Linked DNA regions of Macaca fascicularis. The protein of the gene in region 7 purifies or fractionates together with the protein of the main gene of each other region. This does not show direct contact. Links are inferred from orthologs where the notes say so. Each region holds a gene or a part of one and is shown on either strand. Other genes may lie near its edges.

What was found.
Region 1: the proteins of NFKB1 (region 7) and LRPPRC purify together in Homo sapiens (affinity purification with mass spectrometry; 3 studies listed by BioGRID and IntAct, with this or other methods). This does not show direct contact. The link is inferred for Macaca fascicularis from reciprocal best matches to the Homo sapiens genes NFKB1 and LRPPRC.
Region 2: the proteins of NFKB1 (region 7) and SPAG9 purify together in Homo sapiens (affinity purification with mass spectrometry; 5 studies listed by BioGRID and IntAct, with this or other methods). This does not show direct contact. The link is inferred for Macaca fascicularis from reciprocal best matches to the Homo sapiens genes NFKB1 and SPAG9.
Region 3: the proteins of NFKB1 (region 7) and NFKBIE purify together in Homo sapiens (affinity purification with mass spectrometry; 4 studies listed by BioGRID and IntAct, with this or other methods). This does not show direct contact. The link is inferred for Macaca fascicularis from reciprocal best matches to the Homo sapiens genes NFKB1 and NFKBIE.
Region 4: the proteins of NFKB1 (region 7) and SP1 purify together in Homo sapiens (affinity purification with western blotting, with the first as the bait; 3 studies listed by BioGRID). This does not show direct contact. The link is inferred for Macaca fascicularis from reciprocal best matches to the Homo sapiens genes NFKB1 and SP1.
Region 5: the proteins of NFKB1 (region 7) and AURKA purify together in Homo sapiens (affinity purification with mass spectrometry; 4 studies listed by BioGRID and IntAct, counting the BioPlex papers as one, with this or other methods). This does not show direct contact. The link is inferred for Macaca fascicularis from reciprocal best matches to the Homo sapiens genes NFKB1 and AURKA.
Region 6: the proteins of NFKB1 (region 7) and RNF123 purify together in Homo sapiens (affinity purification with western blotting; 4 studies listed by BioGRID). This does not show direct contact. The link is inferred for Macaca fascicularis from reciprocal best matches to the Homo sapiens genes NFKB1 and RNF123.

Annotation. Positions count from the first base shown.
Region 1 is NC_088387.1:78,088,116-78,092,164, reverse strand, and holds part of LRPPRC (leucine-rich PPR motif-containing protein, mitochondrial), read right to left. Parts: intron 3,176-4,049; coding exon 3,049-3,175; intron 2,400-3,048; coding exon 2,255-2,399; intron 1,937-2,254; coding exon 1,791-1,936; intron 1,540-1,790; coding exon 1,434-1,539; intron 1,353-1,433; coding exon 1,245-1,352; intron 1-1,244. UniProt on the Homo sapiens protein: May play a role in RNA metabolism in both nuclei and mitochondria. In the nucleus binds to HNRPA1-associated poly(A) mRNAs and is part of nmRNP complexes at late stages of mRNA maturation which are possibly associated with nuclear mRNA export.
Region 2 is NC_088390.1:55,588,385-55,592,905, forward strand, and holds the start of SPAG9 (C-Jun-amino-terminal kinase-interacting protein 4), read left to right. Parts: upstream 1-1,554; 5' UTR 1,555-1,770; coding exon 1,771-2,073; intron 2,074-4,521. UniProt on the Homo sapiens protein: The JNK-interacting protein (JIP) group of scaffold proteins selectively mediates JNK signaling by aggregating specific components of the MAPK cascade to form a functional JNK signaling module.
Region 3 is NC_088378.1:127,251,848-127,256,507, forward strand, and holds the start of NFKBIE (NF-kappa-B inhibitor epsilon), read left to right. Parts: upstream 1-1,583; 5' UTR 1,584-1,788; coding exon 1,789-2,153; intron 2,154-4,471; coding exon 4,472-4,574; intron 4,575-4,660. UniProt on the Homo sapiens protein: Sequesters NF-kappa-B transcription factor complexes in the cytoplasm, thereby inhibiting their activity. Sequestered complexes include NFKB1-RELA (p50-p65) and NFKB1-REL (p50-c-Rel) complexes.
Region 4 is NC_088385.1:60,209,358-60,213,406, forward strand, and holds part of SP1 (transcription factor Sp1), read left to right. Parts: intron 1-788; coding exon 789-957; intron 958-2,590; coding exon 2,591-2,790; intron 2,791-3,845; coding exon 3,846-4,049. UniProt on the Homo sapiens protein: Transcription factor that can activate or repress transcription in response to physiological and pathological stimuli.
Region 5 is NC_088384.1:112,407,363-112,411,341, forward strand, and holds part of AURKA (aurora kinase A), read right to left. Parts: intron 1,544-3,979; coding exon 1,395-1,543; intron 1-1,394. UniProt on the Homo sapiens protein: Mitotic serine/threonine kinase that contributes to the regulation of cell cycle progression.
Region 6 is NC_088376.1:112,732,021-112,736,069, forward strand, and holds part of RNF123 (E3 ubiquitin-protein ligase RNF123), read left to right. Parts: intron 1-908; exon of another isoform or gene 909-1,022; coding exon 1,023-1,200; intron 1,201-2,395; coding exon 2,396-2,470; intron 2,471-2,619; coding exon 2,620-2,707; intron 2,708-2,793; coding exon 2,794-2,881; intron 2,882-2,973; coding exon 2,974-3,058; intron 3,059-4,049. UniProt on the Homo sapiens protein: Catalytic subunit of the KPC complex that acts as E3 ubiquitin-protein ligase. Promotes the ubiquitination and proteasome-mediated degradation of CDKN1B which is the cyclin-dependent kinase inhibitor at the G0-G1 transition of the cell cycle.
Region 7 is NC_088379.1:108,167,997-108,172,578, forward strand, and holds the start of NFKB1 (nuclear factor NF-kappa-B p105 subunit), read left to right. Parts: upstream 1-1,504; 5' UTR 1,505-1,959; intron 1,960-4,582.

The DNA.
Region 1 (4,049 bases), on a different chromosome or scaffold from region 7:
TTTACTAAGTAGTAAAAATGTAGTAACCAATTCAACTGTGACATGGTTGCAAAAGGAGATTAACCTGATGAACAAACATTTCAACTGGTACCAAAGGAATTTTCATACTTGTGTAAAGGTGGACAATACCAACATGCCCAAAGAGTTTGATGGAATGATGTAAACTTTCTGTGGTTCCAAAACACCGGGTGATAGGTTACCTTTTGGAGCTTTCAGACTGGAGGATATACAAAGAGTTAATCAAACTAGCATATTGTTTTCACAGAAATTTTTCTAAAAAGGATTTAGAGACTTTTATAGCCAGAAACAATTAGGGAATACTTGTTTCACTATTTCCTTTAAACCAGAAGACGGCTGTATATTTAAAATAAAATTGCAATATGAAAGTCTGCTAAAAGCACTTTTTTTGTTGTTTGTGCATTTTGTTTGTCACCCAATGTCACACTAACAATTCTGCATCTCATTCCAAAGCACATTATACTTAGAGATAAAATGAAAAAGACCATTTTTTGTTTCCCCAAGGGGAAAGTACTTCTGTTAAAAGCATCTTTTTATGAGACTATTCTTTCTGAATTACCAATAATGCAAACCAAAGAATTAGATACTGTACTCTGAAATTTAATATTTGTTCAATTCTTATTCATATCCTATAGTCATCCCATGTGTACAAGGGAAAAGTATGATAAATGCTTAAACGTACTTAAGAACCTGAAAGATTGAACATTTTTGTCCTTCAATCAGCAGGCTGTCAGGTCATGAGTACTCATTTTACAATAAAAGTTTTCCTGCCTTTCCTATTATTCTAACTAAGCTCAGTTAAAAAGAAATAGATTGGCCCACAAAGAAAATGGCCACACTTTTTGTTTTCATGAACCTGATTGTATATACAACTTTATCTTTATTAAAGGTAGACAATCTGATTTCAAACATTATATATAAAATCAAGAACTAAAGAGTTTTTTTAAGAACTTGAAAATAATGAACTGCTTAGAACTACATTCGTAAGTTTGAATATCAGGATCAGAGATGAAATAAGAAATGAAATTAACGAAATTCGGATGAAAGAAATCCATCATGTTTTGTTTTTTTAAATGCTTACACATAATACTTCATGGCGACTTAAAACAATTCCGTTTTCTCATAATACTCAGGAATAAGTATGCTTTTCCAAAGAATCCAATTAGATGTGCGTGCAAACTGTCATACTGGGAACCATTACAAACCAGTAAAAAGCACAATCTAACCTTGAACATTTTTTTCCTTCTGATGTCCAACTAGCAATGGCCAGAAATAGTGAGTTCTGATAGGAAAACCTTCCTCCTTCACAGCCTTCATTAGGGCTTTTGCCAAATCTGAAAGAGATATCATAAAATATCACAAAGCTACCTCAGCAAAACTTCCTTACGTTGGCTTTAACTTTAAGAATGTAGTACCAGTTTTTTTGGCAAGTAAGGCACAATGGAGGGTGAACTGCAGAGGAAAGGAGTGCATCTGGATTTCCTTTAACTTCTTACAGTAGTCTGTTAGCTTCTCCACAGGCTGTGGGAAAAAAGTCACCACATTAGCTGGATTGGCAAACATCTTACCATTTGAACTGCTGCAAATATTCTATCACTTCTTGAGATGAGCAGTTTAAATCCCGCACTTTTTCTACCCAAAAATCTTGCAACACAAGAACAAGGTTGTTATAATGTTCACAACTGGTCTAATCTCATAAATATTCCTATATTTTAAAGAATCTTATTTCACTGCCAATTATATTGTCTACAAAGTAAAAGTGGACAGAATACCGTATTCATAGTCACACAGTGTCGTAAAAAGAAACTGCCAAAGTCACTTATGCCATCTTCCTTTGATATAGGGCATGCTAGTAAAATTTGCAAAGCTACATCTTCCAATTTTTCAGTGACTAAAAGTAAAATGAGGTTCATTGCATCTGGGAAGAAAACAAAGACATCTTTTGTTAGTAAACTGAACAATGTTTTTACACTGCAACCAATGTTCCGATACTAAAGACAAAATAAGAATTGCAAACATCAAAAGCATATATCTGCCTAAATAACAATAAAACACTTGCAAATCAAATCATCCCCATGTATTCATTAACTCATGTTTTTGGGCTTATTTAACTGACTTTAAGAGTTCTATGTTCAACTCCCACAATGCCCATTGTTAGAAAATGTCCTTTCCATCATATAAGAACAGCAATTCAGATTTTTATAAAAATCATGTAAATAGATTTTTTAAAAACTACCTGGAATATATCTTCTTTCACATGTAACTTTTTCCAAAATTTCTGAGACATACTGAGGATACCCAGCTTTACTGAAGCTAAAAATAATTTGGAATAAATCACGGTCCATAAGGTGAAGCTCGGACTTCTCGACCTTCTCCAGAGTCTATAGAGAGTTCCAGAAATTAGAAGACCAAGTTAGAGTGTTTTTATTTAAGTATTAAAGTTAAATAAATTAAAATATACAGATTCAAAACAGTAGGGAAAAACACCACCTAAAGCTTTAGGACTTCTTTTAAAACATAAGAAATACTCGGCCAGGTGCGGTGGTTCACGCCTGTAATCCCAGCACTTTGGAAGGCCGAGGAGGGTGGATCACGAAGTCAGGAGATGGGGACCACGGTGAAACCCTGCCTCTACTAAAAATACAACAAATTGGCCAGGCCTGGTGGCGGGTGCCTGGAGTCCCAGCTACTCGGAGAGGCTGAGGCAGAAGAATGGCGTGAACCTGTGAGGCGGAGCTTGCAGTGAGCCGAGATTGCGCCACTGCACTCCAGCCTGGGTGACAGAGCAAGACTCCATCTCAAAAAAAAATAAAAATAAAAATACATAAAAAGAAAATACTCTACTTCAACAATAACTGTTATATTATCAGCACCAAGATACTGAACTATAATAATTCTCCATAAATACTACTCTCTGCAAGGAAACATCTTTGAAAACAGGTATAAACTACACTTTGCTGCCTCATATAAAACATAACACAAGTTTTTACAAATGATTTTAAAGTATGTTTATTTAGACATAAGTCATACCTGCTTAACATGGTCAATGTCGCCCTTCTCAGCATATGCATTCAATAATGCGAGGTATGTGTCTGGACCAGGCTCAATTCCAGCCTCTCTCATCACTGTGAGAATGTTTTCTGCATTCTGCATATCACTACAAGTTAATCCAAAAAACAGATTACTTGCCAAATGTAATATAGTTATTCAAACTAAAACATACGCTTATTAAAATCAAAAATGCTAAGTATCATTTGGAATTATGATGTCAGAAAACAAATGTATATTAAACTGGATATATGTTTCTCAAATAAAGATCATAAACATCTGATCCCTCATTAAGAAAAATAATAATTACGCAGACATTAAATAACATATACCCTCTTACATTATACAGGTTACGACTCAGACTTAACTTACAAGGTAAGAATAACGTTTAGTAAATTACTCTTCAAAAATAAAAATATTGTGGCTCAAGCCTGTAATCCCAGCACTTTGGGAGGCCGAGACGGGCGGATCACGAGGTCAGGAGATCGAGACCATCCTGGTTAACACGGTGAAACCCCATCTCTACTAAAAAATACAAAAAACTAGCTGGCCGAGGTGGCGGATGCCTGTAGTCCCAGCTACTCGGGAGGCGGAGGCAGGAGAATGGCGTGAACCCAGGAGGCGGAGCTTGCAGTGAGCTGAGATCCGGCCACTGCACTCCAGCCTGGGTGACAGCGCGAGACTCCGTCTCAAAAAAAAAAAAATAAAATAAAATAAAAAAAAATAAAAATAAATAAAAATAAAAATATTTTCCAGAGCAGTTACTTCAGATCAAGCCCAGTTTCTTTTTTCTTTTCTTTTCTTTTTTTTTGAGATGGAGTCTTGCTCTGTCTCCCAGGCTGGAGTGCAATGGCACGATCTCGGCCCACTGCAATCTCTGCCTCCTGGGTTCAAACAATTCTCCTGCCTCAGAATCCCGAGTAGCTGGGATTACAGGCACCTGCCATCATGCCCAGCTAATTTTTATATTTTTGTAGAGACCA
Region 2 (4,521 bases), on a different chromosome or scaffold from region 7:
TTCCTACTACCCAAACATCTAAATGACATAAGGGTGAATGTGAGGTGAGGGTGAGAATGGAGAAAACACAGGAAGCAAATTCAGTCCCATCCGGCACTTTAGACTTAGTATTTTCATCCTTGTCCTTCCAAATTTATAGGTTTGTTCTTGCCCAACCTTCATATTGTTTTTGTGGGTCTCCAGGTGGGTCATGCGTTGGAAACTTTAGGGAACTACTTCATACTTGGTGGGAAGTACTTGAACTTGTAAACCCCAAGCTAAGGGTAGTTATGATCCCGGTGGGTAGCCAGTTCTCCCCCTAAATCTATGTTTATCCTGCCTTTCCTCCCCCTTTTCTTAAACGAGTCGGGACGGAGAAATGAGTCACCTAAGGCGGGGAGAAGGGACTTTTGAGAGTGTCTTCCGTCCCATTTGCGGACGTCAGGTGAGCACACCGGGAAGCGATCTTGACTCAGCCCGCTCTGGCGTGGGCGTTGTGCCATTCCCCACACGTGACGCTCTGCCAGGCGGCAGAAGTCTCACTTGTCATGGGACTTATTCACTCCAGTGACTCCACCCCTTTCCTCCTCTGCTCCCCAACCTCCCACTTACCCTTTCCGCCCCACTTCGAGACTTGAGGAAAGGAGGGTGGCTGGAGCCTGGAAATGTCCCCGTCCCAAGTTGGCCAGAAGTAGCAGACACACTATTTGGGAAAGTGCAACATGTAACTTTTCAGTTTCACCCTTCTCCAGAATGCTATCACCCTTCCTGTTTATTTTTTAATAACTTGAGATATAATTCACACGCCATATGATTCACTCGCTTAACGTGTAAAGTTGAATGTCTTTTAGCATATTTAGAGTTATGTATACATCACTATAATCAATTTTTAGAACACTTTCATTATCCCAAAAGGAAATCCCATACCTATTAGCAGTAACTCCAATTTCCCCTCATCTCACCCTTGCTCTTCCATAGCACAAAACAGCCTTATTCTAGTCGAGACCACCTTTCCACTTAGGTAGACCCTGGTTATGGTTTTTTCCCCTCCCTTTCTGTTTCCCATTTTTTTCGGAGCCCGGAATTCTCAATCTGGAGAACTGGTTTGAGTCCCGGCTCAGCCCGTTTCCCGTTCCAGGGGCGTGACCTTGAGAGCACCGCCACTTTTCCGGGCCTAGTTTCTTTGTCTGTGAAACGAGGTCCAAACATCTGCCGCTTTACGCCCGTTGTGGGGATGAAGTGAGAAGGTGCTTTGTGAGCTTTAAAAATCCATAGAAATACCAGCTACGTTAACTCGTCACTCTTCCCGAACCCCTCCCTTTCCCCTGGGACCCGCCCCGCGAATCCCGCCGTGATGGACACTTTCCCACCCTCCGACCGCAGTCTTTCCCATTGGCGCCCGCATCATCCTCGCGGCGCCGGGTGTTGACGCCACGGCTTCCTCCGCCGGCGCCCGAAGACGCATGGCCCCGCCCCCGGCCGCGCCTGGCCTCCCGCGGCGCCCCGCCCATCGGGCCGACGCGTCGCCAGCCCCGCCCCGCGGATGACGTGTGGCGCGCGCGGCCCGGCCGCCCCGGCAGTTGGTGCAGCGGCGGTTGGGGTGAGAGCGCACACGCCACCCCTCCCCTCCTCCGGCCCCGACCCCCACCCCGCCGGGCCCAGCCCCAGCCCCGGCCCGGGCTCCAGCCCTAGTCCCCGTCCCAGCCCAAGCCGGGCCAGTCCCGTGCGGGCCGGTGCCGCCCCTCAGCCGGCGACGCCCCGGGCCGCCCGCCCGCCCGCCCGCTTGCCACCATGGAGCTGGAGGACGGTGTGGTGTATCAGGAGGAACCCGGCGGCTCCGGGGCCGTGATGTCGGAGCGGGTGTCCGGCCTGGCCGGCTCCATCTACCGCGAGTTCGAGCGGCTCATCGGGCGTTACGACGAGGAGGTGGTCAAGGAGCTGATGCCGCTGGTGGTGGCTGTACTGGAGAACCTGGACTCGGTGTTCGCGCAGGACCAGGAGCACCAGGTGGAGCTGGAGCTGCTGCGGGACGACAACGAGCAGCTCATCACCCAGTACGAGCGGGAGAAGGCGCTGCGCAAGCACGCCGAGGAGGTGAGGCCGGCGGCAGGGCGGGGGCCGCGGGATCCGTCCCCGGGGGCGGTCGGGGCGGGGGTCGCGGCCCGGTCGGGGACTAGAGGCGCGACGGGCCTCCTGGAGAGCTGGCCTGAGGCCGATGTCCCCCCGGGACCGAGCCCGGCGGCCTCCAGGTACCCCGGGACCCAGGCCGGCTTTGGAAGCCGAGGCCGGCTACTGAGTGTCCTGGGAAGGGAGCGAGATGGAGGAGGCAGGGCCCGGGGAGGAAGCGACAGCCTGGCCTGAGGACACATGGGGTTAGCCAAGGGCGGAGATTGTTGGGTGTCTGGTTGCTTCTTGTTGTTGAGGGAAGTTTCCGACCACCGTGGGATAGTCAGATGGCGGTTCAAAGTTTTACCCCTGGGGAGGGGGACACTTCTCTCCTGGATATGTAACTTCCGCTGGTTCCAGTACCTTTCCAGGGGGTTGCCTTGCTTTGGGAAGTTAGAGATCTCCCTCTTTCGGTCAGTTTCTTCTTGGCGTTTTAATCTTGTTGAGAAAGAGGTCTTATTTTATATTCTATGTGCCTTGGTTGACACTTTGTCAACTTTTAGATGTTGTGTGGCAGTATTCAATGAATAGATAAACAATTTCATGGGTATCCCAAACCAGAGCATTCCACAGTATCAGGAGGTAACCTTGGACAGTTCCCTTCAGAAACCCTCCATTTATTTATAAAAAGGATTGGGGGGCGGGGTTGGGAAGATGTAGGTGACAGTTGACAACACTTTTTCCGTCTGAGTTTCCTTCTCAGACTGCTGTTTATACGTGCATTTAGTCGCCTGTTAACTCTAGCACCTGAGCAGTGACCTGGGCGCCCTCACCTCGACTCTGTGAACCTTTTGGAGTTCTAGGGTGCAAGTGATAGGTCCTTGGCTTTTGAGAGTGACAAGGATTTTAGCTTTCAGCCTGCATTGGCGTTATTTCTGTGGACCTTATCAAAGACAGGTGAAGTGTCCTATTTTTGTTTCTCAAGCACCTAGTACACCTAGTTAAATACATGGTGATCAAAGGAGGCGAAATAACTAATTATTGAAGGAATGACATGGTATTTTTCAGAAAGACTTGAAGAGTTTTTAGGATGTGAGATTTGTAGCTCATTTCCTAACACTGAATAGTAACACCATTAAAAATTTTTGTTTTGTTTTGTCATGTATACCTTTGCATCTGGTTAAGTAGTTCTTTTCCTTTTTTAAAAGCTTGACTGTAGTGATGATTTTTAGTTCTGATTGTGGGATCCAGTTTTCTCAAGGGAATGGTATTGAATTTGCCAAACAAAATTGATTATTATTATTATTATTTTTTTTGAGACATAGTCTCACTCTGTCACCCAGGCTGGAGTGCAGTGGAGTGATCTTGGCTCACTGCAACCTCTGCCTCCCGGTGAGCCTCTGCCTCCCCTGTTCAAGCGATTCTTGTGCCTCAGCTTCCTAAATAGCTGGGACAACACTCCCCGCTAATTTTTGTTTTTGGTAGAGAGGGGATTTCTCCATGGTGCCTAGGATGGTCTTGAACTCCTGACCTCAAGTGATCTGCCCACTTTGGCCTGGGGCTGACCATGCCAGTGCTGGGATTACAGGCGTGAGCCACTGCACCCTGCCAGAATGGACTATTTCAAGAGCTTTTCCTTTCATATAGGGAAGGATGGGATGAAAAACTAGATAATGATAGGATCACAATTTCCACTTGTTTGTTAGCACTCTTTGTAGAACAGAGGTCAAGTGCTACTTCTGAGAGGGCTTGCTGCTGCTTCATGCTCACTGGCCCTTGCCAGTGTGTGGATATACGTGGAAGTGACTGGGAATTAACCACATGTACACACAGGTTCAAGCAAGCCTGACATGACCTTTTACCTCACATAAAATAAATGCTCCTTCCAGCCTTAAACTCCTGTCAGTCTGTGTAAATATAGGCAAAATGCCAAGGTCACACGTGCCAAGAAAACCATATGCCACAGGTTGCAGAATCAGAAAACAAAACTGACCGACTGCTAGACTCTGGGTTCCATATTAATTTCTTAAGTAAATGACTTTAAAAAAATAGGTTATCCAGTGAATTTATTTGTAGTTTATATTTTTTCAGTCACATCTATAAATTCTCCGCAGTGAAACCATTGGGCAAAGGGTCATGACCTGAGAACAGAGAACATTTATGAAAAGCTAAATAAGCCAAATCCCAGGCCACAAACATAAACACATCTTGTTATCAGACAGTCTCTCTCTGTCGCCAGGCTGGAGTGCAGTGGCACGATCTCGGCTCACTGCCTCCCGGGTTCAAGCAGTTCTCCTGCCTCAGCCTCCCGAGTAGCTGGGACTACAGGCACGTGCCTCCCTACCTGGCTAATATATATATATTTTTTTGTATTTTAATAGAGATGGGATTTCACCATGTTGCCCAGGCTGGTCTTGAACTCCTGAGCTTAGGCAA
Region 3 (4,660 bases), on a different chromosome or scaffold from region 7:
CCCCACTGTGTGCCCCCACAACACCCTGTTCTCAGTTCTGTCTTATCCCAACCACTCTGAGCTGTAATTGCCAAGGAGCTTTTTTAGGACCATGGGATTTTTTTTGTTGGTCATAGGGGGGTGGTTATGGGTTATTACTGTGATAGTCAGTTTTGCTTCCAATAGAAAGAACAAAGTCAGACATTACAGGAGACCTTCCATACATGTTTAACAAGTGGGTGCATGATGGATGAATAAAATGAGGTTGCAGGGGAAGGGCAGTGGGAAAACTGGCCTCTCCCCTGCAAAATGTTGCTATCTACACTCATCCACCTTCCTTTCCCCAATGCTGGAGATGGAAAAGCTACATGTTTCCTTGGGGATAACCCTGTAAGGGCATTGCTGGCGCTAGGCTGATAGCACTTGGAGTAGTGGGGAGGAACAAGGGAATAAATCATGGGGCATGGGCTTAGGGCTCACTTGTAGTGGGGTTCTCCCACGGCCTTCCTAAGCCTAGGGACAGCGGTTTTCGTACTAAGATTGGGGCTGTGTTAGGGACCTGAGCAGAGTGCAACCAGCATATCTGGGGCCTCCCCAGTCTGACCCCACTTCCTTGACTGCTGGGGTTGACCAGAAACTGTAACTACCCAAGGCCAAGATTTCACCCTTTGAGGAAGAAGAAACCCCATAACCACTTTGCTTTTTAGACAACAGTCTCCATGAGAAGACGCTCTTTCCAAAAAAATTTTTCATGCCCAATTCCATGTGATGTAGGACGTTGACACAGCAGACTGTCTTCGAGGACCCAGAAGAACTGCTCCTTTAAAGATAATGGGAGTCCCCTTTCCCTACCAATATTCCTGGGCACTGATAGGGAAAGATGAGAAAGCAAGAGAAATTGAGATAAATGGGCAAGGGTTAGGAAGCAGTGCTTCCGCAACCCATCACCTACATGCCCTCCCTCAAAGATGCCAGCTTGTACAGACAGTTAATAGATATTTCTTTTAAAACAAATGAATGGTCCGGGCCTAGTGGCTCGCAGCCTGTAATCCCAGCACTTTGGGAGTCCGAGGCAGGCAGATTGCTTGAACCCAGGAGTTCGGGACCAGCCTGGGCAACGTGGCAAGACCCCCGTCTCTACTTGTAGTCCCAGTTACCCGGGAGGCTGAGGCAGGAGAACCGCTTGAACCCAGGAGGCGGAGGTTGCAGTGAGCCGAGATCGCATCACTGCACTCCAGCCTGGGCAACAGATCAAGACTTAGTCTCGAAAAAATAAAAAATAAAAATAAAACAAATGAATTAAGAAATAGAAGTGACAGAAGGAAACAGTACATGCGTGGAACTAATGAGTGAAGGAGGAAGGGGGAAACGGTGAATGAATGAATGAGTGAATGAATCAACGAAGGAGTGAGTCAAGGCCCGGGAACCACAGACTCCAAGCCTACGCAGAGCCCGGGAAGGGGGATTCCGGAGGGGCGGGGCCTCTTTCCGGAAGCGCCCGCCGGGGGCGGGGAGGGGGCGGGGCCACCCGGCTTGCAGCGACCCTGTTGGTCCGGAGGGGCGGGGCGAGGAGGAGGACCCGCTTGGGCGGTTCGGCTGCCCACAGTAACCGCTGGGTGGACCCGGCCAGCGCTCCGAACCTTGTCCTCGCTGTGCGCCGGCCTCTCGGAGCCCCACAGCCCGGGAAGGAGGCCGCCGCGGGCCTGGCGCCCGCTCTGCCAAGCGGACCCGCAACCCGGAAAGGCGGCGCGGCAGAGCCCGTAGCCGGATCCTGCTTAGACCGGGCCCCCGCGGGCCAGCGCCGCGGGCATGTCGGAGGCGCGGAAGGGGCCGGACGAGGCGGACGAGAGCCAGTACGACTCTGGCATTGAGTCTCTGCGCTCTCTGCGCTCCCTACCCGAGCCGACCTCGGCTCCCGCCTCCGGGCCCTCGGACGGCAGCCCCCAGCCCTGCACCCACCCTCCGGGGCCCGCCAAGGAACCACAGCAGAAGGAAGACGCGGATGGGGAGCGGGCTGATTCCACCTATGGCTCCTCCTCGCTCACCGAGAGCCTGTCCTTGCTGGGGGGTCCCGAGGCTGAGGACCCGGCCCCACGCCCGCCACTCCCCCACGTGGGGGCGCTGAGCCCTCAGCAGCTGGAAGCACTCACTTACATCTCCGAGGACGGAGACACGTGAGTATGGGGGCTAGGCGGGATGCTAACTCTGGGCCTGCCCAAGAGCCGCAACAGGCCGGGCACCCCTACTCCCCCGTGAGGATCCTTCAAGTCCCCATTCACTGTTCCAAACTCCAGACTTAACTCTCAGCCAACTTTTGAGGTCCAGCCAGGCCATGGCATCATCTCTGTTCTCCCATTTCGGGGTGGGCAGAGCTGGCAGGACCCTTAACTCAGGGACCCCAGCCAGCATCTTGGAAATCTACCAATAATCCACCCTTAGGAAGAGAAAATTCCCCTGACCGAGTCCAGTTTTTTTGTTTCTTCTTGCTGGGGAAGGGGACATCCTTATTTGCTCAATATCTGGGATTCCCAGTTCCTGACCTCAGAATGCTCTGTCTCCAGGAGCAACAGGTGCCAGTTACAGGTTGCCAGTAGGGGCCAGGAAGCTAGGCGTGGGGGTGCCACCAGGGTGTAGGATTGGGGCTGGTCCTCAGGAGGAGGGGGTGAGCCAGGCTGGGGCACTCTTGCCCCAGCAGACAGATAGGCGGCTGGCTGCCCCAGCTTACTTCCTCCTCTGCTAAGAAAGGGGAAGTGAGGGCTAGAGTCAGCGTCCCTGATATCCTCTACCTCCAGAGACCCCAAGTCCCACTAACTGTTGTGTCTTACTCCCTCACTTAACCCTTCCTCCTTCAGACCCAGGTGGAGTTTTGTGGGAGTGGGCCAGAGGGCAGTTGAAGTAAAAGGCAGTTGTGTGTGATGGGTTGGCCAACTGAGGATTTAGCCCCCCAGGAAGAAGAAAACATTGACACAGGAGGGAAAGGTTGGGATCTGGGGATGAGAAATAGAGTTGGGGAGGGCTAGAATCCCTGATCAAGGGTGCTCATATAAATAGGAGTAGGGGAGGCAGGAGGTGGCTGTCCTAACCTGCTTTTTGGAGATGCAGGGTCCCAATCCTGGGTGGCCATTGATAAAGATAGCTGGTGCACACAGTGGGTGGGAGAGGAGTGACCCAGTCCTTTCTGTACTCTGCCTGGATCACCAGCCCTCAGGTCCAGAACCCCAAGGTTTTGGGGGCTGCATGCAAGATACCTCTGATGACCTTTGATCCAAGGAGAGGGAACTTTTGACACTGCCGTCTTTTGTTAGCCTCTCAGCCCCAGCCTTTTCCATCTCTAGTTAGAAGCAGGTGTTGTGTCCAGACTGGGTGTGTGTGTGGAGGGGAGAAGTGTCCGGGCTTCCCAGCGAGTCCCCAGAGAGGAGGGGCACTTTCCTCCCTCCGTTGGAGGTGTCTGGGCTGTGGGAGGTATGGAAGTGGGAAGAGGAAGTGGGAGGAGGGGATACTGGGGAAGAGAGGGAGGTGGCTGCAAGAATGTGACCCAGAGAGCAGGCCCTGGCCGAGGGGATTTCCAGAGCAGTTCCTCCCTCCCTCCGTCACTCTCCTGGGCCTCTCCTGCTGCCTGCCGCCGAAGCCTGCCGCCCTCCTGCCCAAGCAGTCCCCTCCCCAGTCCAGACGGGCCTTTTAGCCAAGCTACCCCCCTCACTCATGCCCCAAGGCAGCTGTCCCGGCCTAGACCCTCCAGCACTGGCTTTCATTTTCCCCACCTGACGTGGGGAAACCCCGAGACTGGAACTTCCCCTCCCAACTGCCCCCATTACCCCTAGATTAAGGTTCTTGGCCCCCTCAACAAATACATTTTCTGCACTACAAAGACCTCCTCTTGGAGGTGCACACAGGAATGGATGGCCTCTGTTAGGCCCGACCTGGTCTGTGCTATCTGAGAGGTGTCTCTTGACTCCCAGGGAAGGGCAGCAGGACAGGATGCTGCACTGTCTCCTTGCTCCTCTTCCAAGAGTTTCTGTGTCTCTCCCTTGGAATGTGTTAACATTGAGTTGCTTGGGGGTATGGGGTGACCCTGCATCTGTCTCCTTTCCTGTGAGCTGAGGTAGTGGGGTGCTCGGCCTGGAAACCCCCTCTGGACTACTTCGGCAGCTTTCAATTTGGCTTTGAGCTGCAGCTGGCCGGGCAGAGCCCTGAGGGCAAAGAGGAGTGGGTGTGGGCAGGCTGGACAGGAAGGCCCTTGTCCTGTCAGCACCCTGCCCACATGCCCATCCAGCCAAGGCCCTCCTGAAGGCCAGCAGTGGGAACTTGGAGCTCCAACCCCTAGGATCCTGGCTTCCCACACCAACCCTCACTTCCTGGCCCACACTCTCACTTCCTGAACCTACCCTATGGGTAGCTAGTTAAAGTTTGATGTGTTCCTTCTAACCCCAAGACCCCAACCCACTCCCTCTGGCCTGGGCCCTAACGCTGAGCCCCGCCTCTGCTCCCCTAGGCTGGTCCACCTGGCAGTGATTCACGAGGCCCCAGCGGTGCTGCTCTGTTGCCTGGCTTTGCTGCCCCAGGAGGTCCTGGACATTCAAAATAACCTTTACCAGGTTGGTGGCGAGAGAGGGTTGTGCCTAGATACCTGTTTGTGCCCTGGCAGCCATCCCCAGCAGGCACACCAGTCCAAAGGCTGCTC
Region 4 (4,049 bases), on a different chromosome or scaffold from region 7:
AGTACAGTGGCGCAGTCTCAGCTCACTGCAACCTCCACCTCCCGGGTTCAAGCAATTCTCCTGCCTCAGCCTCCTGAGGAGCTGGGATTACAGGCATTCGTACCACGCCCAGCTAATTTTGTATTTTTAGTAGAGACGGGATTTCTCCATGTTGGTCAGGCTGGTCCTGAACTCCCGACCTTAGGTGATCTGCCCACCTCGGCCTCCCAAAGTGATGGAATTACAGGTGTGAGCCACTGTGCCCAGTCACTCTTTGTATTATCTTTTTTTTTTTTTTTTTTTTTTTGAGACGGAGTCTCGCTCTGTCACCCAGGCTGGAGTGCAGTGGCCGGATCTCAGCTCACTGCAAGCTCCGCCTCCCGGGTTTACACCATTCTCCTGCCTCAGCCTCCCGAGTAGCTGGGACTACAGGCACCCGCCACTGCGCCCGGCTAGTTTTTTGTATTTTTTAGTAGAGACGGGGTTTCACCGTGTCAGCCAGGATGGTCTCGATCTCCTGACCTCGTGGTCCGCCCGTCTCGGCCTCCCAAAGTGCTGGGATTACAGGCTTGAGCCACCGCGCCCGGCCCACTCTTTGTATTTTCAATGATGATTCTTGAGATTTCAGTGAGTCTTCAGGTGTCAGTGAATGGAATGGCTGAACATTTTAAAAAGGCTTCAAAACTTGTGATACTGTGAACGTAGGATGTCAGTTCAAAAGAAATGATGCCGTGACTGTAGGGTATCACTGAGATGCCAGTGATAACCTGCCCGTGTCACATGTTGACTCTTTTCTCTCTTAATTATAGGTGATCATGGAGCTCAGCTTGGTCTCCATGGGGCTGGTGGTGATGGAATACATGATGACACAGCAGGTGGAGAGGAAGGAGAAAACAGCCCAGATGCCCAACCCCAAGCCGGTCGGAGGACCCGGCGGGAAGCATGCACCTGCCCCTACTGTAAAGACAGTGAAGGAAGGTGAGTTGACCCAGCAAGTTTCTTACAAATATGAAGAAAAAATAATAGGATTTGGAGGAAAGAGGAAGAAGGTTAATTTTTTTTTTTTTTTTTTTGAGACCGAGTCTTACTCTGTCTCCCAGGCTGGAGTGCAGTGGCGCCATCTCGGCTTACTGCAACCTCTGCCTCCCGGGTTTAAGCAATTCCCCCTGCTTTAGCCTCCCAAGTCACTGGGATTACAAGCATGTAATCCACACCTGGCTAATTTTGTATTTTTAGTAGAGATGGGGTTTCACCAGGTTGGTCAGTGAACTCCTGACCTCAGGTGATCTGCCCACCTTGGGCTCCCAAAGTGCTGGGATTACAAGCATGACCCACCGTGCCTGGCCTTGGGTTTTTTTGTTTGTTTGTTTTTTGTTTTTTTGTTTTTTTTTTTTTGAGACAGAGTCTTGCTCTGTGGCCAGGCTGGAGTGCAGTGGTGTGCGATCTTGGTTCACTGCAACCTCTGCCTCCCGGGTTCAAGTGATTCTTCTGCCTCAGCCTCCTGAGTAGCTAGGACTACAGGCATGCACCACCATGTCCAGCTAATTTTTGTGTTTTTAGTAGAAATGGGGTTTCACCACGTTGGCCAGGGTGGTCTCAATCTCTTGACCTTGTGATGCACCCTCCTTGGCCTCCCAAAGTGCTGAGATTACAGTTGTGAGCCACTGTGCCCAGCTTAACTTTTAAATTTTTTATAGAGATGGGATTTCCCTGTGTTGCCCAGGCTGGTCTCAAACTCCTGGGCTTAAGCAGTCCTCCTGCCTTAGCCCCACAAATTGTTGGGATTACAGGCGTTAGCCACTGCACCCAGCCTAGAAGCCTTTTTAAAAATTTAATTTAATTTAATTTTTTTTGAGACTGAGTCTCGCTCTGTCGCCCAGGCTGGAATGCAGTGGCGCAGTCTCGGCTCACTGCAAGCTCTGCCTCCCAGGTTCACGCCATTCTCCTGTCTCAGCCTCCCGAGTAGCAGGGACTACAGGTGCCCGCCACCACGCCTGGCTAATTTTTTTTGTATTTTTAGTAGAGACAGGGTTTCACCGTGTTAGCCAGGATGGTTTCAATCTCCTGACCCTGTGATCCGCCTGCCTCCGCCTCCCAAAGTGCTGGGATTACAGGCGTGAGCCACCGCGCCCAGCCCCTAGAAGGCTTTTTAAAAGGAAGCCTTGGTCCATCGCGGTGGCTCACGCCTGTAATCCCAGCACTTTGGGAGGTGGAGGCAGGCAGATCCATCACCTGAGGTTAGGGATTCGAGACCAGCCTGGCCAACATGGCGAAACCTCATCTGTACTAAAAATACACAATTCAACTGGACATGGTGGCGTGCACCTGTTGGTGCACTGGACATAGTGGCGTGCATCCTAGCTACTCGGGAGGCTGAGGCAGGAGAATCATTTGAACCTAGGAGGTGTGAGCCGTGATCATGCCGTTGTACTCCAGCCTGGACGACAGAGTGAGACTCTGTCTCAAAAAAACAAAACAAAAAAGAAGGCTTTTTCAAAAAATAAAAGTTTGGGTTAGTTTGGTGTAGGTTGGGTGACTGTTGTTGATACTTTGTGGTTCTTTAGTTTCTGTCTCTAGAATGAATGATAAATAGTTGTATCCTCACTTTCAGGGGCTCGGGGGATCCTGGCAAAAAGAAACAACATATTTGCCACATCCAAGGCTGTGGGAAAGTGTATGGCAAGACTTCACACCTGCGGGCACACTTGCGCTGGCATACAGGCGAGAGGCCATTTATGTGTACCTGGTCATACTGTGGGAAACGCTTCACACGTTCAGATGAGCTACAGAGGCACAAACGTACACACACAGGTGAGCAAGAGCCTATGGGAGAAAAATAGAGTAATAGCCTAGAATGAAAAACACAAAATATACCTACAAAATAACTAAAATTTCTGAACAACTTAATTTGAAACTAAATATATGGGTCACAAATGGAATTGGAGTTAATCTGGAAACCTTTTAAGAAGGAAGGAGGAGCTGCGCACAGTGGCTCACACCTGTAATCCCAGCACTTTGGGAGCCCAAGGTGGGCGGATCATGAGGTCAGGAGATCAAGACCATCCTGGCTAACACGGTGAAACCCCATCTCTAAAAATACAAAAAAATTAGCCGGGCATGGTGGCAGGCTCCTGTAGTCCCAGCTACTCGGGAGGCTGAGGCAGGAGAATGGCAGGAACCTGGGAGGCGGAGCTTGCAGTGAGCCAAGATTGTGCCACTGCACTCCAGCCTGGGCGACAGAGTGAGACTCCGTCTCAAAAAAAAAAAAAAAGGAAGGAGTTGGGTGCGGTGGCTCACGCCTGTAATCCCAGCACTTTGGGAGGCCGAGGTGGTTGGATTTCTTGAGGTCAGGAGTTTGAGACCAGCCTGACCAATATGGGGAAACCTTGTCTCTACTAAAATTACAAAAGTCAAGCGTGCTGGCGCACACCCGTAATCACAGCTACTCGGGAGGCTGAGGGAGGAGAATTGCTTGAACCCAGGAGGTGGAGGTTACAGTGAGCTGAGATTGTGCCACTGCACTCCAGCCTAGGCGACAGAGCAAGACTGTCTCAAAAAAAAAAAAAAGGAAGGAACTAGATTTTGAGTGGGATGTTTTGAAGGCAAAGCGTTGAAACCATTACTCTTAGTCTCTGCCCTGCCTTACTTTTCTGCTAAGTTCTACCCTCCTTACTGAGTACTCCCCAACCTTTATCTACTTTTCTTCCCCACGCCCCCACCAAAGGAAAAGATACTTGAAGATTTTTCTTGTTTTTAATCATCTTCTCATACTGGTCTTACTCAGCTTAGTAGAGTAATTACTGAACTGGGTAAGATAACCTCACTTCCTAACATGTCAGCTTCTTATCTTTCCTTCCTTTACCTAGGTGAGAAGAAATTTGCCTGCCCTGAGTGTCCTAAGCGCTTCATGAGGAGTGACCACCTGTCAAAACATATCAAGACCCACCAGAATAAGAAGGGAGGCCCAGGTGTAGCTCTGAGTGTGGGCACTTTGCCCCTGGACAGTGGGGCAGGTTCAGAAGGCAGCGGCACTGCCACTCCTTCAGCCCTTATTACCACCAATATGGTAG
Region 5 (3,979 bases), on a different chromosome or scaffold from region 7:
TAGGCCATCAACTACCAATTCCACATTTCTATCGGTTTAGGTTTTTGTAATGAAGGTTGGAAAAAAGCTGGGGACAGCAGACACCAAGCCAGAACAGTACGTGTGGTTTCGTATTGCTTTGTCACCAGCTGCTCTTCACCATAGATGCTTACGCTGTCACAGCCCTGGTGCTGTGTTCAGCCAGGCCTGGCACCCACTGAGCACACAGTCACTACTGAATTGTGATGTAGGATTAAGAAGCTACCACTCTGGTCATCTAACCCCTCCATCACCACCAACAGACTGAATCGCGGGTTCTCAAACTGAGGCAATAACCAGGAAATGATGATGATTAACATCTGGGATTCAGAGTGAAGTGACTATCGGTTATGTAAGCAATCTTTTCAAAAAGCAAGAAGCCATCTTTTCTATCACAATTCAACCGGTTAAAATAGTTTAACTCTGCAATTCCATGAAGCCTATAATTCTTTATTCTGGTTTGTCTTAGCAGATAACAGCTCCCACTAATGACAACCAGTTTTTTTAAAAAAAAGACTGCAATAGCAGATTCAATGCATTGCTGGGAACAGTTAGAAGTGCTCTGTAACAAAAGCAAAGGATTTCTCCCTCACATATAATCTGTTTTAGGCTATACTTTTTTTTTTTTAACTAGCTTGATTTTTAAGTCATCTGGCTATAATTTGAGTCCTCCAAAGTTGACAAACCTTGATCGGTAGATGTATGCTTTAAAATGCCCCACTTCACGTGAAGTTTCAAAGCTTATTTAAACTCAAATTTAAAACAGTAAAGATACTGTAGTTCATGTGGAAAGCTCTTTAAGATTTGAATTGTTTTGAGATTGACATCTCTGCTTCAGCTGTGAGAGGGGACAAGGAAGGACTATCCCTACTATTGACAGAGGCAGACCAAAGAGAATCTCTCACCACTGCCCTCAAAGCTCCACCAAACTAATTTGGTGTTTCAAGTTCCCTGATATGACCTGCAGTCTGAGTGCTAGACCTTTGTCGGTGCTGTCCTCTGGAACATCTCCCCATCTCCTCATCCAGGAAGCAGCAGAGGTGAAGAGTTCCTCCCCCTCAACACATGGGCACTTCACCTCTGTCATATACTTGTCCTATCTGTTGACTCATTCATCCCCTCATTAGCCTCTAAGGACATTAAGCATCTTTAACCCTAGGCCTAGAACACTGTTAATAGCCCCAAATCACCACAGAATAAAATTTTCTTGCAAACCCTAGTTTATTATTAAGCCTAAATTACTCCAAGGTACTTCTGGGTTAGCTACATACCCCTCTTATAGCACAAAATCTACACTAAAATATTTTATATTTGGCTCATGATTAGCTCCCAGGGCTCTGGTAAACCAAACAACTTCCACCTCTAAAGTTACATACCTGGAAGATGGAGCATGTACTGACCACCCAAAATCTGCAATTTTAAGCTCTCCAGCTGATCCAAGAAGTAAGTTCTCTGGCTTAATGTCTCTATGAATAACTCTCTTCGAATGACAGTAAGACAAGGCATTTGCCAATTCTGTTATATACTGTTAAAAAAATATTGAAAGCCTGTGTTTTAGATTTTGTATAACACAAGTTAATATTAGACATCTCTTCTGAAAGGAACACAACATAGATTTAACATGGTTTGCAGGTTTTGGCCAGACACAGTGGCTCCCACCTGTAATCCCAGCACTTTGGGGGACTGAGGTGGGAGGATCACTCAAGCCCAGGAATTCAAAGCCAGCCTGGGAAACATAGCAAGACTCCATCTCTGCAAAAAAAATTTAAAAATTAGCCAAGCATGATGGTGTATGCCTGTAGTCCCAGCTACTTGGGAAGCTGAGGCGGGAGGATCGCTTGAGCCCAGGAGGTCAAAGCTGCAGTAAGCCATGATCACACTTCAGCCTGGGTGACAGAGTGAGACCCTGTCTCAAAAAGGAAAAGACAAAACAAAAAACACATATTGCAGGTTTTGAAGCAAGCATCGTAGAAATTATACATGAGTCTACACACACACAAACACACACACACACACACACACACACACACACACAGAATCAACTGAACCAATTTATAGTGGTTAGCATGAAGTGAAATTACCCAATGTTTAGTTATCGCTTTGCTAATACAGTTGGTGTGATGTTGAAAGACGGAAAAGACATTCAGCTAGTTAGAGCTAGCTCTTAGGTTGGTGCCATTTCAATGCAAAACACAGTTACTTCTGCACCAGCCTAACAGTTACACCCCCATACGGCAACAAACGGCCCTGCGGCAAGGAAGTAAGGCAGTGCCGAAGACCTGGTACAAATTAAGGATTCAGGTGTGTAAATACTGCCTTTTTCTTTTTTAGAAAAATAAAATTAACTTTTCAAGTATAGTCAATTCCTTTTTTTAAAACCAAGATCATTCTGTGACAGAATAATTTGTTTAAAGCTAAAAATTTACTTCAAGAATATCAGGAGAAAGAAATTATCCTGAACAATAAACAGAAACTAAAAAGCAGTTGCACTGACATATTAAATAGCATGTTAAATTTTGGGTTACACTAAGTCAGCATAGAAGTACATAAGAAATCAGTCCTTTTGTTAATTTTATTTCCTTAAGTTACTATCTTTTTTTTTTTTAATAGAGATGGGGGTCTCGCTATGTTGACCAGGCTAGTCTCAAACTCCTGACCTCAAGTGATCCTCCCATCTCAGCCTCACAAAGTGCTAGGATTACAGACATGAGCCACCGCACCCTGCCAAGTTACTATCTTGTAAGAAAAGTTTGCCTGGCTGGGCACCTGTAATCCCAGCACTCTGGGAAGCCAAGGCAGGGGGATCACCTGAAGTCAGGAGTTCGAGACCAGCCTGACCAACATGGTGAAACCCTTTCTCTACCAAAAATACAAAAATTAGCCGAGCGTGGTGGTGCATGCCTATAATCCCAGCTACTCAGGAGGCTGAGGCAGGAGAATTGGTTGAACCCGGGAGGTAGAGGTTGCAGTGAGCCGAGATCACGTCATTGCACTCCAGCCTGGGCAACAAGAATGAAATTCCATCTCAAAAAAAAAGCAAGAAAAAAGAAAAGTTTTCCAGTCCCTATCTCTAAGATTTAGCCAACAAATCTAGTATGTATGTATGTATGTATGTTATTTACTTATTTATTTTTAAGAGACAGGGTCTCACTCTGTCACCCACCCTGGATTGCTACGGCATGATCAGACCTCACTGCAGCCTTGAACTCCTGGGCTTAAGCAATCCTCCTACCGAGTAGTTGGGACTACAGGTGTGTGCCACCATGCCCAGCTAATTTTTAATGTTTCTTTCTTTTTTTTTTTTTTTTTTTTTTGTAGAGACAGAGTCTCCCCATGTTGCCCAGGCTGGTCGCTAATTCCTGACTTCAGGTAATCCTCCCATCTTGGCCTCTCCAAGTGCTGAGATTACCAGTGTGAGCTACCATGCCTGGCCCAGAATTTATTTTATCATACAGGTAACTGTTTGAATATTGAAAAAATATATTTAGCTCTGCCTAAAGTTTGAGTTTCCTTTCTAAAGCAATTGCTAGACAGGATTGAACATTATTTTACATCAAAAAGGTTTACTAAACAGATAAGTAAACACCAAGTGTCACTGGCAGAAAAAACACTTTTCATTCTTTCAGTCCAAAGCCAGAGATCAAAATTCAGACCACGATAAACTGAAGTCAAATACAAGAAAGCTGCTCTTCTGACTACACCGACTTTGAGTTGCTGATGCTTTAATTGCACACATTAAAGTTCAAGAGGCAATGGACTTCACTCCTCCAGTCATTTCCAGACAAGAAGCTATTAGTTTCGCCATGGCTCTCTGGCACTGCTACTCCCTCCACACCTCACATGTTGTTAGACTGCAGGTATGGATAGGTCACTGACGTGTCACTACAATTAGTTTTATTTGAATTCATCTGAAAAGGAAAACAGGTACATGCGTATTCATTCTAACTGCAAAGGAATCTAG
Region 6 (4,049 bases), on a different chromosome or scaffold from region 7:
CTCCCTTGCATTGATGCCTTAGCTCTCATGGGGCCATTGCCATCCCCTTGCCAGACCCAATCTTCCCTGGCCTTCTGTAGCAGCAGGATCATCGTTGCCTAGGTTTGCACCCAGGCCCGCCCCTTAAACTCTTGCTTACATCTTCTCCTAAGCTCCTTGGGTTTTAGGGCACATCAGAGAGCTGGTGTGAAGCCCAGGTGCTCCGACCGCACTCCAAGACACACAGGTGCTGTGGGTCTGGGCTGGAACCTGAGGCCGCATTCTTGCCTGGGCTCCCTGACATGGACTCTGTGGAAACCACATTGTGGGGAGCAGGGCCCTCAGCAGGTTTTGTCTGTTTCCTGTGACCTCTGTTCCACCAGTCACACTGCCCCCTGCCTTCCCACCACCTTCTCCTTTGCACTCCAGATCAAATTTCTGCCTGCCTGCTTACCATTGCCAGCTCTCTTGGGCCCTCCATGCATCTTGTACTCCACTTTTCAACACAGACTTCTGGTCACAGCACTCTCTTGCCTAAAACTTGCTTACGGGCTGAGGCAGGTGAATCACCTGAGGTCAGGAGTTCAAGATCAGCCTGGCCTACGTGGCAAAACCCTATCTCTACTAAAAATGCAAAAATTAGCTGGGTGTGGTATCACATACCTGTAGTCCCAGCTACTTGGGAGGCTGAGGCAAGATAATCCCTTGAACTTGGGAGGCGGAGGTTCCAGTGAGCCGAGATGGCGTCACTACACTCCAGCCTGGGCGACTCAATCTCAAAAAAAAAAAAAAGAACTTGCTTACAAATATGCTGACCAGAGTTCTGGCTGGGTTGCAGTAATACGCCCTCCAGACTGAGTGCGTCCCTCTTGCCTGCTGAGGACTCGATTGCCCTGCTTAAGCCACTGCTCGTGCTTCCTGAAATCCAGGTCTCAGTTGTGCTGTCATAGGCCTGGGGAGGCCTTTCCTGATCCCCAGGCCAGGACATGAGCCCAAGACCCCACTGGTGCACAACCCAGCAGCACCCCATGTGCCTCCTGCAGGAGAAGATGCTGGACATCTACTGGCTGCTGCGCGTCTGCCTGCAGACCATTGAGCACGGTGATCGCACAGGGTCTCTCTTTGCCTTCATGCCCGAGTTCTACCTGAGCGTGGCCATCAACAGCTACAGTGCTCTCAAGAATTACTTCGGTCCCGTGCACAGCATGGAGGAGCTCCCAGGTGATGGAACCATTCAGGCTGGGGCAGAAGCAGAAAAGGGGTCTCTAGTGTGAGCCCTAGGAGCCCTGGTCTGAGACCTCTGTGGCCCAGCAACACACATCCGTGGGGGGCAGGGAGGGGAGGAGCTTCCTCTGTGGTTCACCCTGCAGCAAACAAATGTTTGCACCCTGCCCTGGGACCTGCAGCCACAGATCCAACAGCTCCCTGGCAAAGGAAAACAGACAAGATGGAACACAGTGGGTGGAGACCCCTTGGCTTTCACTTCCTTCCTAGTGCTATGAGCAACTGCTGTGGTGCAGCAGCCAGCTGGCCCTGCACCCTGACTCCCTGGCACTGGTCACAAAGCGTGGCAGTTGGTCAGGGGCAGAATGGTTTGTCTTGGTAAATCACAGCAGGGGGTGGACCCTGCTACGGTCCACATCCGAACCTGGGCTTCTCGCAGCCCACTGATTCCAGGCTAAGCTGTACTGTGTATGTCTGGATCAGGCAGTGAGCTGTCATAGCCCCTAGCCCACACCCTGCCTAGCCCCAGGCCTCGGTGTAGGCTTTGTCTTCAAAGACAGAGCTGTAGGCCGGGCGCGGTGGCTCAAGCCTGTAATCCCAGCACTTTGGGAGGCCGAGACGGGCGGATCACGAGGTCAGGAGATCGAGACCATCCTGGCTAACCCGGTGAAACCCCGTCTCTACTAAAAAATACAAAAAAAAACTAGCCGGGCGAGGTGGCGGGCGCCTGTAGTCCCAGCTACTCGGGAGGCTGAGGCAGGAGAATGGTGCAAACCCGGGAGGCGGAGCTTGCAGTGAGCTGAGATCCGGCCACTGCACTCCAGCCCGGGCGACAGAGCGAGACTCCGTCTCAAAAAAATAAATAAATAAAAAATAAAAATAAAAAACAAAGACAGAGCTGTGGGTGCCCAAGGAGCTTTGACTGCTCATCAGGTGTGTGTGCTGAGATGGGTTTGAGCCCAGGTCAGGGCTCCTGCCAGGGCCTGTCATCCCCTCACAGTGAGCCTATGCCTTAGCCCCTCCACAGCCACCAATGAATGCCTTGCCTGATGTCCCCAGATGCCAGCCTGGGTCCAGGCTGGGCTTGGGAGCCAGCTCTAGAGCCTGCTACCCAAGCCCACCCAACCTGCTGACATGCCTGCCTCTGGAGCCCCCACTCCTAGCCAACACGTCTCAATTCCTACCCTTGCAGGCTATGAAGAGACACTGACCCGCCTGGCTGCCATTCTCGCCAAACACTTTGCTGACACACGCATCGTGGGCACTGGTGAGGGGCCCTACAGAGGGTACAGGGGGAAGGGGATGGGATGGCACCTCTGGTTGGCTTTCTTCTATGAAAAATGTGGCCAGGTGGGCATGAGACATGGGTCCAGGGCTCATGCCAAGCCCCTACTGAGGCACGGCGTCTCCCCGCAGACATCCGAGACTCGCTGATGCAGGCCCTGGCCAGCTACGTGTGCTACCCACACTCCCTGCGGGCTGTGGAGCGAATCCCTGAGGAGCAGTGAGTGGGGCCTGGGAGGCACACACCCTGGCCACAAGCACCGTGCCCAGCCTCACCCCATGTCTCTCCCCTCCTTGCCCTCACAGGCGTATCGCCATGGTGAGGAACCTCCTGGCACCCTATGAGCAGCGGCCCTGGGCCCAGACCAACTGGATCCTGGTGCGGCTCTGGAGGGTAAGCCTGACTCAAGGGGAGGTGGCTGAGACTGGCTGAAGGGAGAGGGTGCCCTGTCCCATTGACCTGAGCACCGACCCCCACCTCCACAGGGCTGTGGCTTCGGGTACCGCTATACACGGCTGCCACATCTGCTGAAAACCAAACTTGAGGATGCCAATTTGCCCAGCCTCCAGAGTGAGTATCTGGGTTGGTGGAGTCATGAGCAAGGCAGGCGGGGGTGTTTACCCCCTACCCATGGGTTCTTTCAGACTCTCCAGTTCTTCAGCCCCTCTCTGGTTCCCCCATTGGGTCCCAGACTCCCTACTTGTCCCCTGGGGTTTCCACTTTCCTTGCTTCCTTCCAGCCCAAGGATGCTCGGGCTGGGACTCCCCCTCCTCCACCTTGCCCACAGTCCTACATGTGTCCTTTGGGCCTGGACGCTCTACATGGGTCATGGTGAGAGGTGGCACCATCTTCCTGGCCTGCCGCAGCTCATGCAGACTGAATACTCTGTCCCTTGCCCTCAAAGCTAGCTCCCTGACCTCCAGCCTTGTCCCAGCACCATGTCCTTCTGCTTCTTTTTTGCTCTCTGCTGGTGCCAGACCCTGGCCTTGGCTTCGGCCTTGGACACCTGAGTCCAGTGGGAGCACAGATTGGAGGTTGGCCAGGTGCCCAGAGGGTATTCATGGGGGTTCCTGGAGGAAGGGACATTTAGTTGGGAGCAGAGGGCAAGTATCATGAGCCTGAGGATTTTACCCTAGGCCTGGCCCTTGCAGAGTGCCTACCACACACTGTCTTCACCCTTCGTGGTGGCTCTTCTTGGCTCATGTAGTCTGTTTCTGCCCTTGTGGGCAGTGTTTTGATCTGAAGGGTGTCCCCAGAGAGGCTGAGTGTCTTGTGCTAAGTCACACAGCAAGTCCTTGCCAGTTGCTGTGGTCCTGCCTCCAGGGTGGAACTGAGCTGCAAGTGGAGAGCAGCAGTGGGGCCAGGCCCGTCCTGCTGCTGCGGGAACTATTGATTTGCATCAAGCTGGTGGGGAGGTGCGCCGGGCCAGTTGCAGCTGAGGGCTCTGGTTACTGCTGCCTGCCAGCCCAGACTTGGCGCCTACCACCTTGGCCATATGCCAAGGCCAGGCCAAGGGCAGCAGAGGACAGTAGAGGACAGCAGGTTTGCAGCAGGGCTCAGA
Region 7 (4,582 bases):
CGCCTGCCACCAAGCCCGGCTAATATTTTGTATTTTTAGTAGAGACGGGGTTTCCCCATATTGGTCAGGCTGGTCTCCAACTCCTGACCTCAGGTGATCCACCTGCCTCGGCATCCCAAAGTGCTGGGATGACAGGCGTGAGCCACCGCACTCGGCCCACAAAATTTCTTAAAAAGTCGTTGTGTTCAGTCTTTATGGATCCTCTGAATTCCACCTGCTCAGCCTCCAGGAGCTAAATGAGATCGCTTAAAGGTCAACTGTTGGGTGCCTCCAAGGTCGCCCCAGAGGCTCCTGTCATAGGCAATCAAATGAATCTCTGTTTTTACTTTTGGTTGTGCGCGTATGTGTGGTTTTTTTGTTTGTTTTGTTTTGTTTTTTGTTTTTGCCAGAAAAACACTCCACCAAGAAGGTTTTTATAACCTAGTGGAGGAGGAGGACGGAGAGTGGGCACAAAACGACTAGGATGAACATGCTATAAGGAATCTGAATGCCACTGCACTATTGCCTGGTAAGGACCTGATTACCGATATTTTAAAGCTAAGCTTTCAGTTGTCACTCGACCCACTAGTGAAACAATGAGCTCTAAAATATATGTTTCAGCTCAAGATTTCTTATGTGGGGAGGTAATGCAACCCAAGGTATCCCCAGCCTGTGCCTAGTACAGCGCCCAGCACTAAAGCAGCTCAGATGCCAGTGAACGGTGGTCACTGGCAGGCCTGTCAATGGGTGCCAGTAGCGGTCTCTTCAGAGAAAAAGAAAACTCCCCTCTGCCAGATCAGTATTTTATGAGCTGTAAACCAAAACCATTGCTACCACCATCACTATAATTCTATCCACAGTAATTATCATAAAGGCCTAACAATGCCTTGTAGATGAATATTGAGTAACTGCCCTATAACGAGGATATTTAAGACCGCACCAAAAACCAGTAGAGGGTTATACTTTACTGGACACAAGTCGGTTATGATAACGAAATTCTAGTTTAATCTGTGAAGAGATCTGAATGTAACCGAGACACATTTAAATGGAATATACAGATGAGCTTTATTTTTATATCTGGCATGCTTGGATCCATGCCGACCCTCCAGCTGCTCGGGCCTGCCCTTAGGGGCTATGGACCGCATGACTCTATCAGCGGCACCGCCGCCGCCTCCGCGCCGCCTGTGTTCCCGGACCACTGGGCCCGGCTGGCGCTTCCTGGGGGCGTCCCTACCGGCTCCAGCCCTCGGGATTTGGGAGCGCCCGGCTAGGAAGCCAGAGTCACGCCGGGGATCCCGGCGTCCAGGCCGCCTAACGCGCGCCCCTCGCCCGGCGCCCCGAAGCGGCCCCGAGGGGCGGGAGCCCAACCGAGCAACGAGGCCGGGCCGGGGGCGCACGGCCCCCAAAAGTGCGGGCTTCCCCCACCCCCGGCAGCGACCCCACCTCCCGCCCCCGCTGCGTGCGCGCGTGTGTCCGTCTGTCTGTATGCTCTCTCGACGTCAGTGGGAATTTCCAGCCAGGAAGTGAGAGAGTGAGCGAGAGAGAAAGAGAGAGAAGTGCACCAGCTAGCCGGGGCAGGAAGAGGAGGTTTCGCCACCGGAGCGGCCCGGCGACGCGCTGACAGCTTCCCCTGCCCTTCCCGTCGGTCGGGCCGCCAGCCGCCGCCGCCCTCGGCCTGCACGCAGCCGCCGGCCCCGCTCCCGGAGCCCAGCGCCGCCGAGGCCGCAGCCGCCCGGCCAGTAAGGCGGCGCCGCCGCCCGGCCACCGCGCGCCCTGCGCTTCCCTCCGCCCGCGCTGCGGACATGGCGCGGCGCTGACTGGCCTGGCCCGGCCCCGCCGCGCTACCGCTCGCCCCGACCCGCACCCGGGCCCGCTCGGGCTCCGGCCGGCCACCGCCTCTTCCCTCTCCAGCCCGCAGGCCCGCGCCGCCCAGGAGGGAGAGACCTGCGCCAGGAGGCCGAACGCGGACTCGCCACCAGGGTAAGCCAAACTCGGGCGAGTGGGGGCCCGGCAGGGGACGCGTGGCTCGAGTCCCGCCATCCAGCTCTCCGCACCCCCTCCAGCCCCACTCGGACTTCCTCATTCCTGCGCTAACCGCTGGGCTAGACCGTGGGAGGAGGTTGACAGTAGTGAGAGGCACATGGGATTGGCGACAGCGGGGTAAGGCACATCCGGACCTCGCAGGGGCTAGTCGGCCGAAGGGCCGTGGCTGCCCGGCGCTCATTTCTCTTCACGTCCCTCCGCGGGGTGGGAATGCGAATCGGAGGGGAACTCTTACAAACTTTTAAAATCCCCCAACCCCAGCCCCAGCTGGGGGATAGTGAGAAGGTTGAGGTGCGCTGCGGCGCGGAGGAGAGAGGGAAGGTGGTTGGTGCAGTGCAGAACCAGATTTCACCTAAGGGCGTTCCATGAAATGAAAGAAGAAGTGCTTGTCAGTCCTCCTGGCAGGGAAAGCCCTCTCCAGCTCCCCAGAATTGAATAGGAGAGTCTATTCATCCCTCTCCTACTTCTAAAAGAAGCCTGGCCCTCTCTCTGTCTCTTTTTCTCTCCCTCCCCCCACCCCTCCGTACACACACACACACACACACACACACACACACACACACACACACGATATAGTCACCTGCTATAGGACTTGATTCTGATCCTCTGGGGCCTGGCATTTGAGAGAGAAAATAAATTACCTAGTTGGATACTTAGAGCACTTTTTAGACTTGATTATGTAAAATTCTTGGACAGTGCCACCATGTATTATGCATGACTTCTGAAACAAAAACAATGTAAAAACAAAGCCTATCCTAAATGTAAGTTTTTCTATGGTCCTTAAAAACAGACACCAGGGAATGTTTGCCCTGACTTACTGGTCTATCCTGAAACTGAAATGGGACTTAATGATACAGGATTTAATTATCAAGATTTGAGACATTTTCATGGACTTTGTTAAGTAGAGGTTTTCAGCATTACAGTTTATGAAATAACCATATTTAACTCAAAGATTTTGTTATAAAGCTTATAATCTGAAAAAATGCTTATGGTATTACTAGAACATTTAATAACTCTGGCATCAAAATATTCTACACACTGGTGATCTTTAGTAAATACTAAAGGTTAGGGTCAAGATGTTCAATAATTTTCTTCTAGCAGAATCCCACAACTGAATATTGTCAAGCAGTTTAAACTGCATTCGTGTTTGTTAAAACTTTAAAAGGGAAACTTAAAATTGAAGTATGTTGTTTTTCTGATTTTAATTTTGTGCTTTCTAGAGATGAATCCTTTTACTGCTTGAGGCACTATGGGAATTATGTGTTTAAATGTATGTATTTAAATTTGAAGCAGTGTACTTTTTTCAGTTTATAAACTTGGGAAGACAGGAAATGAAAAGATTTATTTCCTGTAGAATTTTACGTTCATGATTTAATTGAATTGCTGAAATGAAAAGAACATATACGATGAATGGAGACTTGGAATCTGAGATTATTCATCCATATTGATACACCTGCAATTCCTAAATGCCCTCCCCTGCTTGTTTAGATAAAATGTCTTCCTGGTCTGCAACCTACTGGACAAACTTGAACACAAAGGAACACACGTTTTATGTACATTTAATACTGGAACCGAAAAGCTGCTTGCAGTGAAAAGCAAACCACTTCTAAACTCTTTGACACTTTTTAAGGAAAATAGTATAATCGTTTTGGGGTTGGTGGTGATTTGAAAATCTTTTATCTTTTTTTCTGAAATTTCATTCTTACGTTCGTCGTTGGCACTCACTTGTGCTGAGTAAATGCCCCTGTTTTTCAAACCCAGATAGTAAATACTGGGGTATACATACAAAAATAGTCCTTCCCCTTTGTAAGCATTGCTTTGATCTTTGCACTTCCTTTTTACTCTACCTCTTAAACAAGATCTGTGATGACTGAGTTGATTAAAGCACAATTAATCTTGAAATAGGAAGAATTTTAGATTTAGTGATCATATTCCTTACATTTCTGTTGTTACTGTTCCTGGAAACAAATTGAAGTAGTGTGAGAAACTAATTATTTATGTAGGTTGTTTTAGCTACACTTTTAGACTTGCAGATAATTGATTAAGTAAGTTACTACCTTGACTTTCAGGGATTGCTCATTGTGGTAGATACGAGGTCTAGATAGGGAATTGGCAGCTACATGAATGTTGGACTATCATTCCATCAGCAAGACCTTATTTTTACCTAATTTATGAGAGGTATTTCTCTCTTCAGAAGAGGTGAAAGTTCTGGCTTCTGAGGGGAAGTGATTACTTCATAACCTTCAATTGGTTTGAACTTGGGAGAAGTAAGAAAAGTAGTCGATATTTTCAAACAATAAAATAATTGTGTCTGAGTTGCTGTATGGATTTTTCATGAAGTACTCAAAAATGTCATCTTTTTCATCTTCAGGTCTTAATAGATGTGCTCTTCTGAGCATAGAATTGACTGCAGTAGGAAGTGTATCTGGAAATGCACAGTACTGTTGTATAACCAATAGAGTAAATACTCAGATTATGCGCTTCTAGTCCACAGATTGATCAGAAATCACATTAACAGGAATGGATGTCTATGAATGAATGGCTATGCAAAATTTCTCAT